Linked DNA regions of Tamandua tetradactyla. The protein of the gene in region 1 interacts with the protein of each later gene in a pairwise test. Links are inferred from orthologs where the notes say so. Each region holds a gene or a part of one and is shown in the gene's direction. Other genes may lie near its edges.

Evidence for each region.
Region 2: the proteins of CASP10 (region 1) and RIOK3 interact in binary tests that used the Homo sapiens proteins (3 or more experiments, as listed by UniProt). The link is inferred for Tamandua tetradactyla from reciprocal best matches to the Homo sapiens genes CASP10 and RIOK3.

What each region holds. Positions count from the first base shown.
Region 1 is NC_135329.1:175,723,455-175,730,724, forward strand, and holds the start of CASP10 (caspase-10), read left to right. Parts: upstream 1-4,165; 5' UTR 4,166-4,356; intron 4,357-5,686; 5' UTR 5,687-5,693; coding exon 5,694-6,046; intron 6,047-7,269; coding exon 7,270-7,270. UniProt on the Homo sapiens protein: Involved in the activation cascade of caspases responsible for apoptosis execution. Recruited to both Fas- and TNFR-1 receptors in a FADD dependent manner. May participate in the granzyme B apoptotic pathways.
Region 2 is NC_135344.1:60,013,188-60,020,168, reverse strand, and holds the start of RIOK3 (serine/threonine-protein kinase RIO3), read left to right. Parts: upstream 1-3,966; 5' UTR 3,967-4,152; coding exon 4,153-4,215; intron 4,216-6,981.

The sequences.
Region 1 (7,270 bases):
GCGGTGAAAGAGGCACACTTATCCACTGTTGGAGGGAATGTCAAATGGTGCAACCACTGTGGAAGGCAGTTTGGCGGTTCCTCAAAAAGCTGAATATAGAATTGCCATACGACCCAGCAATACCATTGCTGGGAATCTACTCAAAGGAATTAAGGGCAAAAACTCAAATGGACATTTGCACACCAATGTTTATAGCAGCGTTATTTACAATTGCAAAGAAATGGAAACAGCCAAAATGTCCATCAACAGACGAGTGGCTAAACAAACTGTGGTATATACATACGATGGAATATTATGCAGCTTTAAGACAGAATAAACTTATGAAGCATGTAATAACATGGATGGACCTAGAGAACATTATGCTGAGTGAGTCTAGCCAAAAACTAAAAGACAAATACTATATGGTCCCAATGATGTGAATCGACATTCGAGAATAAACTTGGAATATGTCATTGGTAACAGAGTTCAGCAGGAGTTAGAAACAGGGTAAGATAATGGGTAATTGGAGCTGAGGGGATACAGACTGTGCAACAGGACTAGATACAAAAACTCAAAAATGGACAGCACAATAATACCTAATTGTAAAGTAATCATGTTAAAACACTGAATGAAGCTGCATCCGAGCTATAGGTTTTTGTTTTGTTTTGTTTTGTTCTTACTATTATTACTTTTATTTTTTTTCTCTATATTAACATTCTATATCTTTTTCGGTTGTGTTGCTAGTTCTTCTAAACCGATGCAAATGTACTAAAAAACGATGATCATGCATCTATGTGATGATGTTAAGAATTACTGATTGCATATGTAGAATGGTATGATTTCTAAATGTTGGGTTAATTTCTTTTTTTCCGTTAATTAATAAAAAAAAAAGAATATATGCAAAGGTTTATCTATAAAAATACCAGTGCAGAATTGTTCACAATAGCAAAAATCAGAAATTCACTAATAATTGGAAATTGGCTAAGTAAACTAAGGTACAACTATATAAGAGAATATCACTCAGCCACTAAACATCATGTTTTCAAAGACTATTTAATGATACGAAGAGAAGTGAAAAAAGCCTTGTACAGCATAATCTGATTTTTGGAAAATAATATATACAGAGAAACGTGAAAGGATATACACCAAAATGTTAACAGTTATAGGACTATAGATGACTGTGTGCATTTATGTTTTCTCATTCTCCTACATTAAATATTGGAAGTTATCTGCCTCCCCTCTTTTCCCTACTTTTGTAATTAGAAAAGAGAAATCTTAAAGTAAAATTAGTGTGTAGTTATAGTGAACACCAAATGGGCCATACTTTGCTTGTCTAGCTGCAATCTCCTGCCAGTTCACTATCCAGAAATCTTCCCTGAGACCCTTACCAGATAGTCTTCTTCAGAATTTAGCTTCACTATGCTCCCATAAACCCAGATAAGACTGATTCTGGGAAGGTCTGGAGTGGGTGGATAAAGATTGTGGGGGAGGGGGGAGTGTGGTGGGGGTGGAGTGCTAGTTGGTCCTGGAAATTGGGACGGACAGTGTGGGGAGTCAAAAGAACCACCACTTATGAACTAAGGGGTGGAGAGGAAGATTTATTGCACCAGTTCTTCAGCTCATACACACGTGCCACGCCCTTCACTATGTCAATTCTTTAGTTCTCGTGTCCTTGTTCTTGAAAAACCTCCCTGAACAGAGGTTGGGGAACTTTCCAGCACCACAGAGAACTCGCCCGCAACCCCCTGGGTGAGAAATCCTTCTTCCCTACCCCCACCCCAGCAGAGGAGAACTGTATAAAAGGAGAAGTAGCCAGATATTTCCTGGCTATGACCCCCGCAATGGCAGCTGCTCACCACTACAAAAAGCTATAAAGGTTCTGATTGGTCCTTCACATGGACCCACATGACCCACACAGCAACCAATCAGGGAAGAGGCTGTTCGAAACGTTTATTCTATTTGCTATCAACTCACTATTAGCACAGTCTCAGTAATTGGGTTCTAAATGAGAGGAAGTGTGACAAAGCAAAACAAAATAAAAAATAATGAGAATAAATGTTAGGAAGTGTGAAATGCTGAATACAAATATCTACACAAACACAATCTCATCTTTGTAACTTGGCTCAAGCCTTTTCCTTGAGTATGAGGAATACTAGGACAAAGTTTAGTTTTTTTTCTTTGTGTCTCTATTGTACCTCTACCTTAATTCAAATACTTCCTCGTTCAACGAGCCTTTCCAGGCATCCCAGTCTAGATTCACCCATAGCTATGTGGGGGCTCCTTGTGGCACGTCCCCACACCCTACCCAGTGATGCAGATAATACATTGTGGTCCGGGGGTACAGGCAGCAACAACCTTGGGATCAAGAACATAGGAATTGGAGTCAGATATCCCTGGGTTTGAGTCCTGACTTCTCACCTCTTCCAAGCTTTGTGCTAGTGGCATGATGCTTTGTCTCTCTGAATCTCAGTTTTCTCTCCTGTAGGATGTGGATAATAATGTCAATCTTCAGAGTTATTGTGGGAGTTAATCAAAGCAGATGGGGCCAAGAAATGGAGTTGGCATAATTATAACTGAAGGCAGGCACTGTGTTTTATTCATTTTTGCTTTCCCATTGTGCCCATTTCATTGCTTTATACATAGGAAGTACTTGCTGACTACTTCATAAAATTAAATAAAAGTTGAGAGAGTTAATGTACTTTACGAACAGGATAAGAAGTGACAGTATCACTAAATTGCCTCCCTAAATGTTGCCGAAGGAATTAAATATGCATAAATGAACAACTGACCAAGACAAAAAAAGGGGCTTGTCTTTTTAAATGTGGAGGTTCTCTGGAGGATGCCTAGAATGCGGAAATGTGTTTAGCACTTCGGTTAATCAAAGCATCTTTCATTCAGTTTGCTTTTTTCAGAGATCAAACAACTTTCTAAGATTGTACTTCTTCCCAGAACTCTGTGTATTTGAATTGGCTTAATCATAGTGTAGTGACTTAAAGCATGGACTCAAAAACCATACTACCTCACTCAAATCTTGGCTTTGCTGTTAGCTAGCTGAGTGACCTTGGGTAAATAAACCTCTCGGTGCCTTAGTTTCCACATCTTAAAGCAGGGATCATAGTAATAGTTTACCTTTTAGGGTTGTTAGGATGATTAAATGAGTAAATATTTGCAAATACTTAGTACCTGGCTCATGGTACATGTGATATTATTATTATTATTATTGGAAATAATATCTTCCAAGTCTCTCTTTCCTGCTGAACTGAATGTACCATAAAGACAGACTTCATCAGTTTTGTCTACTGTAAATTGATAAATGTTTTAGACCCTTGGAATTACCTCCAAAAAAAAAGGCTTGTAATCCAGCTCCCACCTCCCTGCTTTTTGACTTTTAAAACTTTAATTTTTTGTAGAGCTGTGCTCCAGTAGCCATGTTTCTTGAAGATGATTGTATAATGATATAGCTTTCACAATGTGACTGTGTGATTGTGAAAACCTTGTGTCTGATGCTTTTATCTACCTTATCAACAGATGAATAAAACATATGGAATAAAGATGAATAATAGGGGGAACAAACGTAAATGTAAATTTAGAGTGTAATGCTGATGATAGGTGAGGGGGAGGGGTGGGGTATGGCATGTACGAATTTTTTTCTGTTTCCTTTTTATTTCTTTTTCTGAATAGATGCAAATGTTCTAAGAAATGATCATGATAATGATGATGAATATGCAACTATGTTGTGAATTAGTGATTATATATGTAGAATGGAATGATCCGGAGTCACGAATATTTGCATTTGTTAGGTGTTTTTTGGTATTTAAAAAAAATTTTTTTAATTAATTAAAAAAACATTTTTTTGTACATGAACCTTGAGCTTTTTGGATTTTGTTTTATTTTACAGGTAAAGTGACTTTGGAAAGGAAATAGTTGGAACAATTAATACTTCCCTTTTGGACTATCTGAGGGGACTGTGATCTGAGAGAAAGCCTGGAACACTTAATGACTATCAGGAGTTCATTTCTAGGAGCCTTTTGCTTTACCTGGGAAAGTTCTGAACGCTACAATGGAAAAGAAAGTTGTGAATTTGCCTTTAGGAGACGCTGTTTGTCAGTGTTACCCCAACCAACCTCGGAAAAGGGGAGGGAAAAGACAGGCGATGATGACATCAGCAGGAAATTAATATCAGGTTACCCAAACCCCAAACCAGAAGATCCAGTTTTTTCTTGCACAGCTAGCAACAAGTCTTCAGTTCTCTTCCCGCGCAAATGGGAGCTTCCTTCGAACTTGGAGCACACGGAGGATTCTAATTCCTTTAAAAATTTCAGGCATTTTTTCCAAGAACTACTTATCTCTGGAAGATTCGTGGAATTTGGTCTAAAGGTATGTAACACCCTCTCCCTGTCCTGCCCCCTTCCCCCCAACCCCAATCCTCCACTGCCTGGGGTCTCGCTTCATGTTGTAGCTTATAAAAACTTGTAAAAACTTGTCAGCAATGGCACTGTTCCTGCCTGCGTTTATTTGCTGTGCCAGGGAAAATGAAAGTCAAAACACACACACATACACAAAACAGGGAGTCTCCAACATGGCTTTTTACTGGCAGGAATATGCATATGCTGATCCACAATTGGAGACCAAGTTTAGGAGCTTCATTAAGTCAAGAGATCAGAATCTTCAGGAAAATGCAAGGCAAATATATGACGCGTTAGATACGAATTATTTGATGATTCCATCAAATCATGGCTACCAGAAGGGAGAACCTCACAAATGATCCTATGAAAAATGGCATTTTTTTTCCTAACAACAAAATTAATATATGTTCATTGCATAAAATTTGAGAACTCAGACAAGAGCCAAGAAAAAAAATGTATATTATCTATAGCTATACTTCCTTGATATAACCACTCTATTATTTTTTCTTTTGCTATATTGCCCTTCCTTTAGAAAGTAGTTTTCTGTTTCTAAAAATAGCCATCTTGCATAGTGAATATATACCTCCAAGTTCTTACAGAATGAATGATATAATCGTGAAAAATTTCATCAGTGCTTTGCTCATCTGATTAGAATAAAATTTAGTGTAGAGAATACCATAGTTTATTAACCCATTAGGTGTAAACATGGACTTGGGTCATTTGTAACTTCCTACGCTGATGTTTAAAGCTACCCTTTCTTCCAGGGCCTAGGATTATGGCTTCCATTTCTGCCCTGTTCTGGTTAACACTCTGAAGCTCAGGATATAACAATGCTCCCCCAACGTCACCGCCTTGTCCTTGGATTGTTGGGCATTTCGGAAGGATAAACCCTCAGATTTTTTTTCTTTATTTCTAAAGTTTAAAACATAAGGCCAAGTGTTATTTCTTGGAAATGAATTTGGGGCCCAAGAGCTCCTGCTGGGTTACCGGCCCCAGAGAGATGAGGCCTCCTGATGAACTAGCACTGGTGATATTTTGATTTGGAGAGAAATCAGGATAAACCAAATTAGAATAAAACTTCTTCCACAACTACTGAAAGTTATTGTGCAAGCTCATATTGGGGTAGAGTGTTCTGGGCTGTTGGTATTTGCAGTGGGTCTTACAGTCATTTTTTATTTTCCAGCACTTCTAAGAAAATCTAATGCCCAGAACCGAGGAGGCCAGGACTGGGGGAGGGCCTGGAGGGTTGGGGTTCAGTGGGTCCTCTCTCGCTGACTCCCTGCCCCACCTCTCTCCTTCAGGCTGCTCATGACAACTCAAGTTCAAGTTCCAGATCTGGGCACCGGTTGGGAGGAAAACTGTAGCATGAACTTTCGCCGGACACTCCTGGTTATTGATGAAAACCTAGGGGTCCAAGATGTGGAGGCCCTCAAGTTTCTCTGCAGAGACCGCCTCTCCCACAAGAAGCTAGAGGAGTGCCATTCAGCCTTTGAGATTTTTGATCAGCTCCTGATAGAGGACCAGCTGAGTGAGGAAGAGCCTTTCCTGCTTGCCGAACTCCTGTACACCAGCAAGCAGAAATCGCTGCTGAAGCACCTCGGGTACACCAAGGAGCAAGTGCAGAGTTTGCTGCCCACTCAAAGGAAGATCTCTTTGTTCAGGTGAGGAGAGGTCTGTGATCAAGATGGGAAGGATTTCCCTTCTCCTCTCCTACTTCATCCTGCAAATAACCAGTGTTCGTTCAAACCATTGGGCCTTGATGACAGAATGATTCTAAGCCAGAAAGTTTCTTAGCTTCAGGTGCAAATGAGATGAAAGATTGGTAGGTGAGCAGAGCTTCAAAACCAGCCTGGGGCTGGAGGTGGCTTCTCTTTGTGTTTCTCACTGTCAGGTGCCGCTCACCTCTGTGGAGCCGAGCCTGCTGCTTCTCCTGTCCCCTTGCACTCAATTCTTCCTCCTGTGTTCCCTGAGGTTTCTCCCTCCAACTTGGGGCCTTGGGAAGAGAGTAATGCCTACCTTGAGCCAAATAAGCAAAAAAGGAGCTGTGCCTCTGGGGTAGAGAGGGAAAGCGTTCATGTGATGTCCAGTTATAGATTTTTTAAATACATTTTTTGGGTGGAAGAAACCCAGAGAGGCAAATGCAGGCATCATGTGTCAGACCTTACATAACACTATTTGAAGTTGTTCTCTGATGTAGCGCCCGCATCAGAGAGCCTCACAAGTGTATTTTATTGGCTCTGGGCTATTGGAATCCTTCAGGCCTTAACATCTGAACAGCTGGCTCCAAGAACCAGGTCTGCACTAGGGCAGAGAAGGGGATCAAGTAGGTCAGAAGTCAGTATTTCCTCTCGGCTGGTTAAACCTGAGGACAGTCTCTGATATACAGAAGTGTTAGTGTGTAAATGAAATATTCAGTTTTTCTGATTGTGGACTGTGATGCCTAATTTCATGTGTGAACACCGACTAACACATCGATGATGTGAAGAGCCAGGGGCTTGTGTGGTTCCTTTCCTTTTTCAATGGTGGAGTTTATATTGGCTGGGATCAGGTCCTCTCTGGGGAAGGTCTGTAAAAACACCTGCCTTTTTTAGAATGGAGTCAGGAGAAGGGAAAGGTTGTCGAATTGTATTTTACCCCTTCTCTATGTGATGGAAAACAGCACTAGACTTGGAATCAGAAGGCCTGCCTCTATTGCTTACTCTGTTATCTTGAGTCCCTTAGAGACTTGATGCTTTAGTTTTTGTGCCTGTAAATGGGGGTAATAATTGTCTAATCACAGGGTCGAGATCATTCAAAGGAGAGAGAATGCTTGTCCAAGCGCTTGGCTTACTGGGATGTCCTCTGCAAGCGTGGGGTTTTAGTTATCCTTTTGGATTATGTTTAGA
Region 2 (6,981 bases), on another chromosome or scaffold:
TTCTAGTTTGCTAGCTGCCGGAATGCAACACACCAGAGACGGATTGGCTTTTAATAAAAGGGGATTTATTTTGTTAGTTCTTCAGAGGAAAGGCAGCTAACTTTCCACTGAGGTTCTTTCTTATTTGGAAGGCACAGGATGGTCTCTGCTGGTCTTTTCTCAAGGCCCCTGGGTTTCAGCAACTTTCCCCCGGGGTGACTTCTTTCTGCATCTCCAAAGGCTTGGGCTGAGCTGCAAGTGCTGAGATGAGGAATGCCGAGTTGCTTAGGCTGTGCTACATTGCGCTCTCTCATTTAAGCACCAGCCAATTAAGTCAAACATCACTTATTGCAGCAGACACGCCTCCTAGCTGACTGCAGATGTAATTGGCAACAGATGAGGTTCACCTACCGTTGGCTTATGTCCGCAGCAACAAGATTAGGTATGCTCACCTGGCCAAGTTGACAACTGAATCTAACTAACAGCCCCCCCACCCAAAAAAAAATCAATTGGCCAAAGAGATGGAAATAGCCCAAATGTCCTTTAGCAGAACAAGTGGCTAAACAAGCTGTGGTATGTACAAACAATGGAATACCACACAGCTGTAAGACAGAATAAAGTCATGAAGCATGTAACAATGTGGATGGACCTTGAGGACATTATGCTGAGTGAAATTGGCCAGAAACAAAAGGAAAAATACTGTATGGTGTCACTAATATGAACTAATATTAATAAGTGAAATTTGAGAGTTGAAGTTAAGAACACAGGTTATCAGGAGATAGAAATAGGGTAGAGATTGGGCATTTGGTGCTGAAGGAATACAGATTGTATAACAGAATTGACTGTAAAAATTCAGAAATGGATGGCACAATAGTACCTGATGGCATCACAATAATATAATTGTAAGTTTTGATATGTTGTGAAACAATGGATAACAGAGAATTAAATATCAAGAACATTAGATCATGGAATTATTGGATACAGAGTAAAGATATGTATATCTCAATTATTTAAAGATATGAAATTGAAAATATGAGAAAATGACAAGACGACATGAAAAGGAGTCAGAGTTTTAAAAGAGGAAAATTTTGAACTTATAGAGATAAAAAGTAGAATAATTGCAGTTAAAAATTTAATAGACAAGTTAAAGAGCATACTAGAATAGCTGACAAAATAATTAGTGAGCTGGAAGTTATATTTGACACCTAGCACACAGCACAGAAAGACAAATACATGGAAAATATGAAAAAATAGTTTAGGATCATGGAGGATAGCGTAAGAAGGCCCAACAGACATCTAATTTGACCTTATAAAAAAAGACTAGAAAGAATATGAGAGGCAATTTCCTCCCTATCTAATCTTTTTTTTCTTACATAGGCAGGCACCAGGAATTGAACCCGGGTCCTCTGGGATGGCAGGCAAGCGTTCTTGCCTGCTGAGCCACTGTGGGCCGCCCCTCCCTATCTAATTTAAGGCATGAATCCTCAGATACAATAAGGCCAATAAATCCTGAGCAGACTGAATGAAAAGAAATATATTCTCAGGCATATTTATATATTCAAATATACTTTTAATCTAATATTTTCCTTTTATTTATCCTTTATAGTACGTTTAGAGCATAATGTTGATTTTGTAAAGTATTTATGCAGTAAAGGAAGCAAAACAAAATATTTGTGATTAAAAATGGCAATGGGAAAAAGGTCTAAAATATGGGCAAAGATTTAAGTCAAAATATAATAACTAGCATTTTTATAATGCTAAAAAATATTTGAACATTAAAGCCTAGAAATAAAAACTGTTTAAGTAAATTTTGGTGCATCCATACATTAGAATATTGTTCGGCCACTCTAAATAATGTTTATGAAAAGTTTGTCATGGCATGGGAGATGTATGTGACATAATGACAAATTAAAAAATTGGAATTCAAAAAATAAATGGCAATAGGTTGGATAGAGTTAAGAACCCCGAGTCCAGACTGAAACTTATTCAACCATATCCATAACATTCCACTACAGAAACTTTATGAAAAATCTTAGTAATCACTAAACAAAGAATTTCCCTGCCTTTGTTCTTAGTCTTACATAGTTCCTTTCTCCTAAGGTAGCTTTATAGCTTCTCTCCAACTTTCATGGCCTAGTCAAGTGCACTGCCTCCAGCAGCCTTTCCATCTCACCAACCCAGGGTGAAACCTGAAAGGTTTATTGTCTATAGCTTTCATTGGGCAACTTATCATACACTGTTTTGAGACAGAATTGTTGTATTATTATTTAAAGTTATTGTATGAATATGTTACCTCTTCAACTGTAATCTCATAGTTTTTGTTTCTCCCACAGATTTTTAGGGGCATCTGAGGCAGCCAATACATATTTGTGGATTGCCTGAAATACTACTTGCAAAATAGACTTAAGTAATTGCAATTTTAAAGACTAAAGAGCCTTATTTCTGTTCTCTTTAGAAACTGAAATAGAGGCTGATTCTATGTGTTTGGGCAGTGCAAATTCTAGAATTTTTTTGTCTCTGCTAGGTACCAGTGAGCTGATCAAAAAGGAAGTAAAAGCCATAACAAAACCCTTTCAACATTGTTCTTATCTCAAATCACAGCAAATGGCCATTTTTTTCCATTCAAGGACTGAATGTCAAATCACATGCAACTAAATGCTGTTAGTGATAAACCACACTTTTTCTGTTAATAACATTTGTAAATGTGTATATTTGATGGCATCAGATATATAACTTTCAACATGTGTTTGAAAATTACCACTAAAATTATTAACCCACAAACACTGTGCCAACCTGGACCCTCGACCTGTGGTGAATAAAACTTCCCTTGTCTCTACAGCTTGCCGTCTCTACTTCCTTGCCCCAAGGAAAATGTAGTTTCCTTTGAGACTACTCATCTTCCTTCAGTTTCCATGACAGAGAATAAGGGTCAGTATTCTTCTCTTTCTCTCCAGTGGAACTCCCAAAATAATATTCCCACCCCTCAGGTAAATACATCTCTTCTTGAGTGTCTGGTCATCCCCTCATAACACTCCCCAAGCTCTTTCTCACCATATATGGATATCAATTGTCAAATGTAAGTCTGTAGCCTATTATGTAGCTATAGTTTTGCTTTATTTTAATCTAGATTTTTTTTTAAGGATTCAGAACGTCTGATCTAGAATATGAAGGAGACAGGGTGGTAAGCTAATGCAAATCAAGGTCATTGTCCCAGAGATCTCAAGTATGGACAGTTAGGGCCCTGGCTGAGAACTGCAATTTGGGGAGGTCAGTGCGATTCCTGTAATGTCTGAATAGTCAGCACATGGGCAGTCCTGGGACCCAGACTGCCTGGGTTTGCTACTTATTCCCTCTCATTGCCTGGGTTTCATTGTCAGTAAAGTGGAGGTAATGATAGAATTTACCCCTCAGGGTTATTCTGAGGATTAAACGAGTTAATAAAATACTCTGAGCAGTGCTTGGCACACAGCAAGGGAAATGTAAGTCTTGGCTGTTTTCGTACTGTCTCAACAATCTCCCTATAAAATACAGAATCAAAACGTTTATTATTGTTCAGTCCGTTTTTTCACTCAATGTTATATGACATGTTTTATAAATTTCACTTTCCGACCTCGCCCCTAAAAGGCAACTACACTAACAACAAAATCCGATAGTCGTCTTCAGTCCCTTTCCCTTCTCCAAACCTGCCATTTTCGGTCTCCCACATCATCCCAGCTTAGAATTAACTAGTGAAATAATGAATGACCAGAGCTCATTTGTTTGCTTATAGCCCACGTCGTCTAATCTAGTTGAACTAGATCCAGCGGCTATCTCTGGGCTGTCCGGGAGGAGGAGGAGGAGGCCGGACACAGGGCAGGGACCCGGGTAGAGAAGCCACACCCCTTCCCCCCGGCCCCTGCCGAGCAGTGCAAGGGTGGCCGGAAGTGCGGCGCGCCGGGGTGGGGAAAGGTGACTTGAGAGTCAAGCAGCCAATCAGAAACGAGTGTCCCACCGGTGAAGGCGGAAGGGAAGTGGTCTGGTTCCGGACGCCGCGGCTCGCGCCGCCATCTGTCATCTCAGCTCCGGCACCAGCAGCCCCTCGCCCCTGCCCCGCCGCCTGTCTCCTCCTCGGCCGACTCTGCTTCCCGCCCTTCCACCTCTGTGCCCGGTTCTTGTCGCTGGCTTCTTCCCCCCATGGATCTGGTCGGAGTGGCATCCCCTGAGCCCGGGCCCGCAGCGGCCTGGGGACCCAGCAAGGTGAGTGGGGTCGGGTTTGACGTACCTGCCCTATTCACCTGGGATGGTTCTTTGCCGCAGATCCTGGAAAGGGCTCCCCAGGCGACTGGGGAAGTTGTAGGACTGACCCGGACTACCTTAGAGAGGGGAGAAGCGGCTGCCAGGCCAGCATTGAAGTCGGAGTGGGAAGGACTGGGGTCTGAAACTCCCACAGGCCACTCTGGGTGTCCTTGATCCTTCTTTAGTTCTACACCTTGCGTTTTGAATCTCTGTACTATGTGTTGAGCAGTCCTCGCCAACATAAAGCAGTCCTCGCCAACAGATATTTATGTTTGAGGAAAAACAAGCATATCTTGTTTTTCACGGGCCAAATGAGTCAGCGCAATAATACAAAAAAAAAAAAAAAAAAAAAAAAAGTTGGGGCGAAAGATGGTTTAGGAAGCTGTCTCCTTAACTTGACAAGTGTGGTTATGCCTGTTGGTAATTTGTTTTGTAAGTAGTAAAAGATAAAACCAGGCACACCCTCCCTTCCCCTCACGCTAATTCTCAGTCGTTCACTAAATACTGTGAAACGGTTACGAATCCAGTTATCTGCCTGTGCTTTAACATTTAAAACTTTTTCCCAGAATGGCAAAAGGAAAACATTTATTTTACATTTGATCGGTGGCTTTCAGGCTCCTCCTTTCCATGAACTTTTGTTGGAAAAATGAAGACTCTTCTGCCACTTTATTGAGGGTTTGCTTGAGACCAAAAGCACTTTGACTGGGATTTTGTGTTCCTTAAATTATGATTGTGAAGGAATCACTCTTTTCGCTTCGTAATTGTTCTTTAGGTGCTAACACAGAAATTAATCTTACTGGATCTTCAGGCTAGGTCTTAACAGAAAAGGTATGTGTGTGGGGGAGATAATTAACTATTAAATAAAGGAAAATTAATTTTATATAAGTTCTTATTCTGTAGATAACTTTAGGGAGAATCTAAGATGTTCCATTGGCAAATTGGTTGCATCTGCAAGTGATTTTTTTAAAACTTTTATTGTAAGGTATGACATTTATACAAAGCAAAGCAATAAAAAAGCAATAGTTTTCAAAACACTCTTCAACAAGTAATTACAGGACAGATCCCAGAGTTTGTCATGGGCTACCATACAATCTTCTCATATTTTTTTTCTTTCTAGCTGTTCCAGAATATAGGAGGCTAGAAGGCTTAAATTTTTTTTATCATCGCAGTCACCTTTTTTTCCTTTTTTTTTTTTTTTTTTTTTGTGAAAAATAACATACGGACAAAAAAGCTATAAATTTCAAAACACAGCACCATAATTAGTTGTAGAACATACTTCAGAGTTTGACATGGGTTACAATTCCACAGTTTTAGGTTTTTGCTTCTAGCTGCTCTAAGACACTGGAGACTAAAAGAAATATCAATTTAGTGATTCAGCATTCAAATTCATTTGTTAAATTCTATCTTCACTGTATAACTCAACCATCACCTTTGATCTTTCCATCCCTCTCTTTAGGGGTGTTTGGGCTATGGCCATTCTAAATTTCTCATGTTGGAAGGGTCTCACTAATATGGGGTAGGGAGATGGAACTATCTGATGTTCTGGAGAAGCTAGGCCCTCTAGGTTTCAGGACTTATCTGGACCAGGGACTCATCTGGAGGTTGTAGGTTTCTGGAAAGTTACTGTAGTGCATGGAACCCTTGTGGGATCTTATATATTGCCCTAGGTGTTCTTTAGGATTGGCTGGGATGGTCCTGGTTGGGGTTTGGCCGGTTAGAATAGATAGCAAGGTCTAAATGAAGCTTGCATAAGAGCAACCTCCAGAGTAGCCTCTTGACTCCATTTGCCCTCTCTCTGCCACTGATACTATATTAGCTACACTTCTTTTCCTCCTTTTGGTCAGGATGGAATTGTTGATCCATGGTGCCAGGGCTGGATTCATCCCTGGAAGTCATCTCCCATGTCGCCAGGGATATCATGTCCCACAAAGGGGGGAGAGCAATGATTTCACTTGGAGAATTGGGCTTAGAGAGACTGAGGCCACATCTGAGCAACAAAAGAGGTCCTCCAGAAGTAACTCTTAGGCATGTCTATAGGTAGTCTAAGCTTCTTTGCTACCTACAGAAGCTTCACCAGAGTAAGCCTCAGGATTGAGGGTATGGCCTATTGATTTGGGTATCCCTAAAGTTTGACATAGTATCAGGGGATTCCCTGATGATAAAATTTAATTGTTTCATATCCTTTCTCCCATCCCTCAAGGGACTTTCATCTGCAAGTGATTTTTGTGTATTTTTTTCTGTGAAAGCCCTGTTTTAAGGTTAAGATTGACAGTCATAGGACTGGTACTGGTAAATATATACTCTACATTTAAAATTCCTCAAGTTAAGCATCTATAAAGTCTGATAAAATTGTCAAATGGGACAAACTGCTCAGGATACTTCCTAAACACACAACAAATTTCACTTAAGAATCAAATTCATTAGTATAATATTTGATATCATTTATATTCTCATTTAAGGATACAGCATAAAAACTGTCAAATTCCATTTTCATCATTCAACAAATAAGATGGTCTTGGGGTTTATTGATGTCATACTGGGAAGATACCATTTTGACAGGCAAAATAATTAGAGGCTGCAAGTATCACTTAATCCTTTCCTTCACTGAATTAAAGGAAGACCAAAGTAATTAACGAAGCCTGCATGGAGGAGGTAGGGATTTGAGGAAGGTCTTGAAAAATGGAGAGAATATTACCAGTTATTCTCAAATTTTCTGGCCTTGCACTA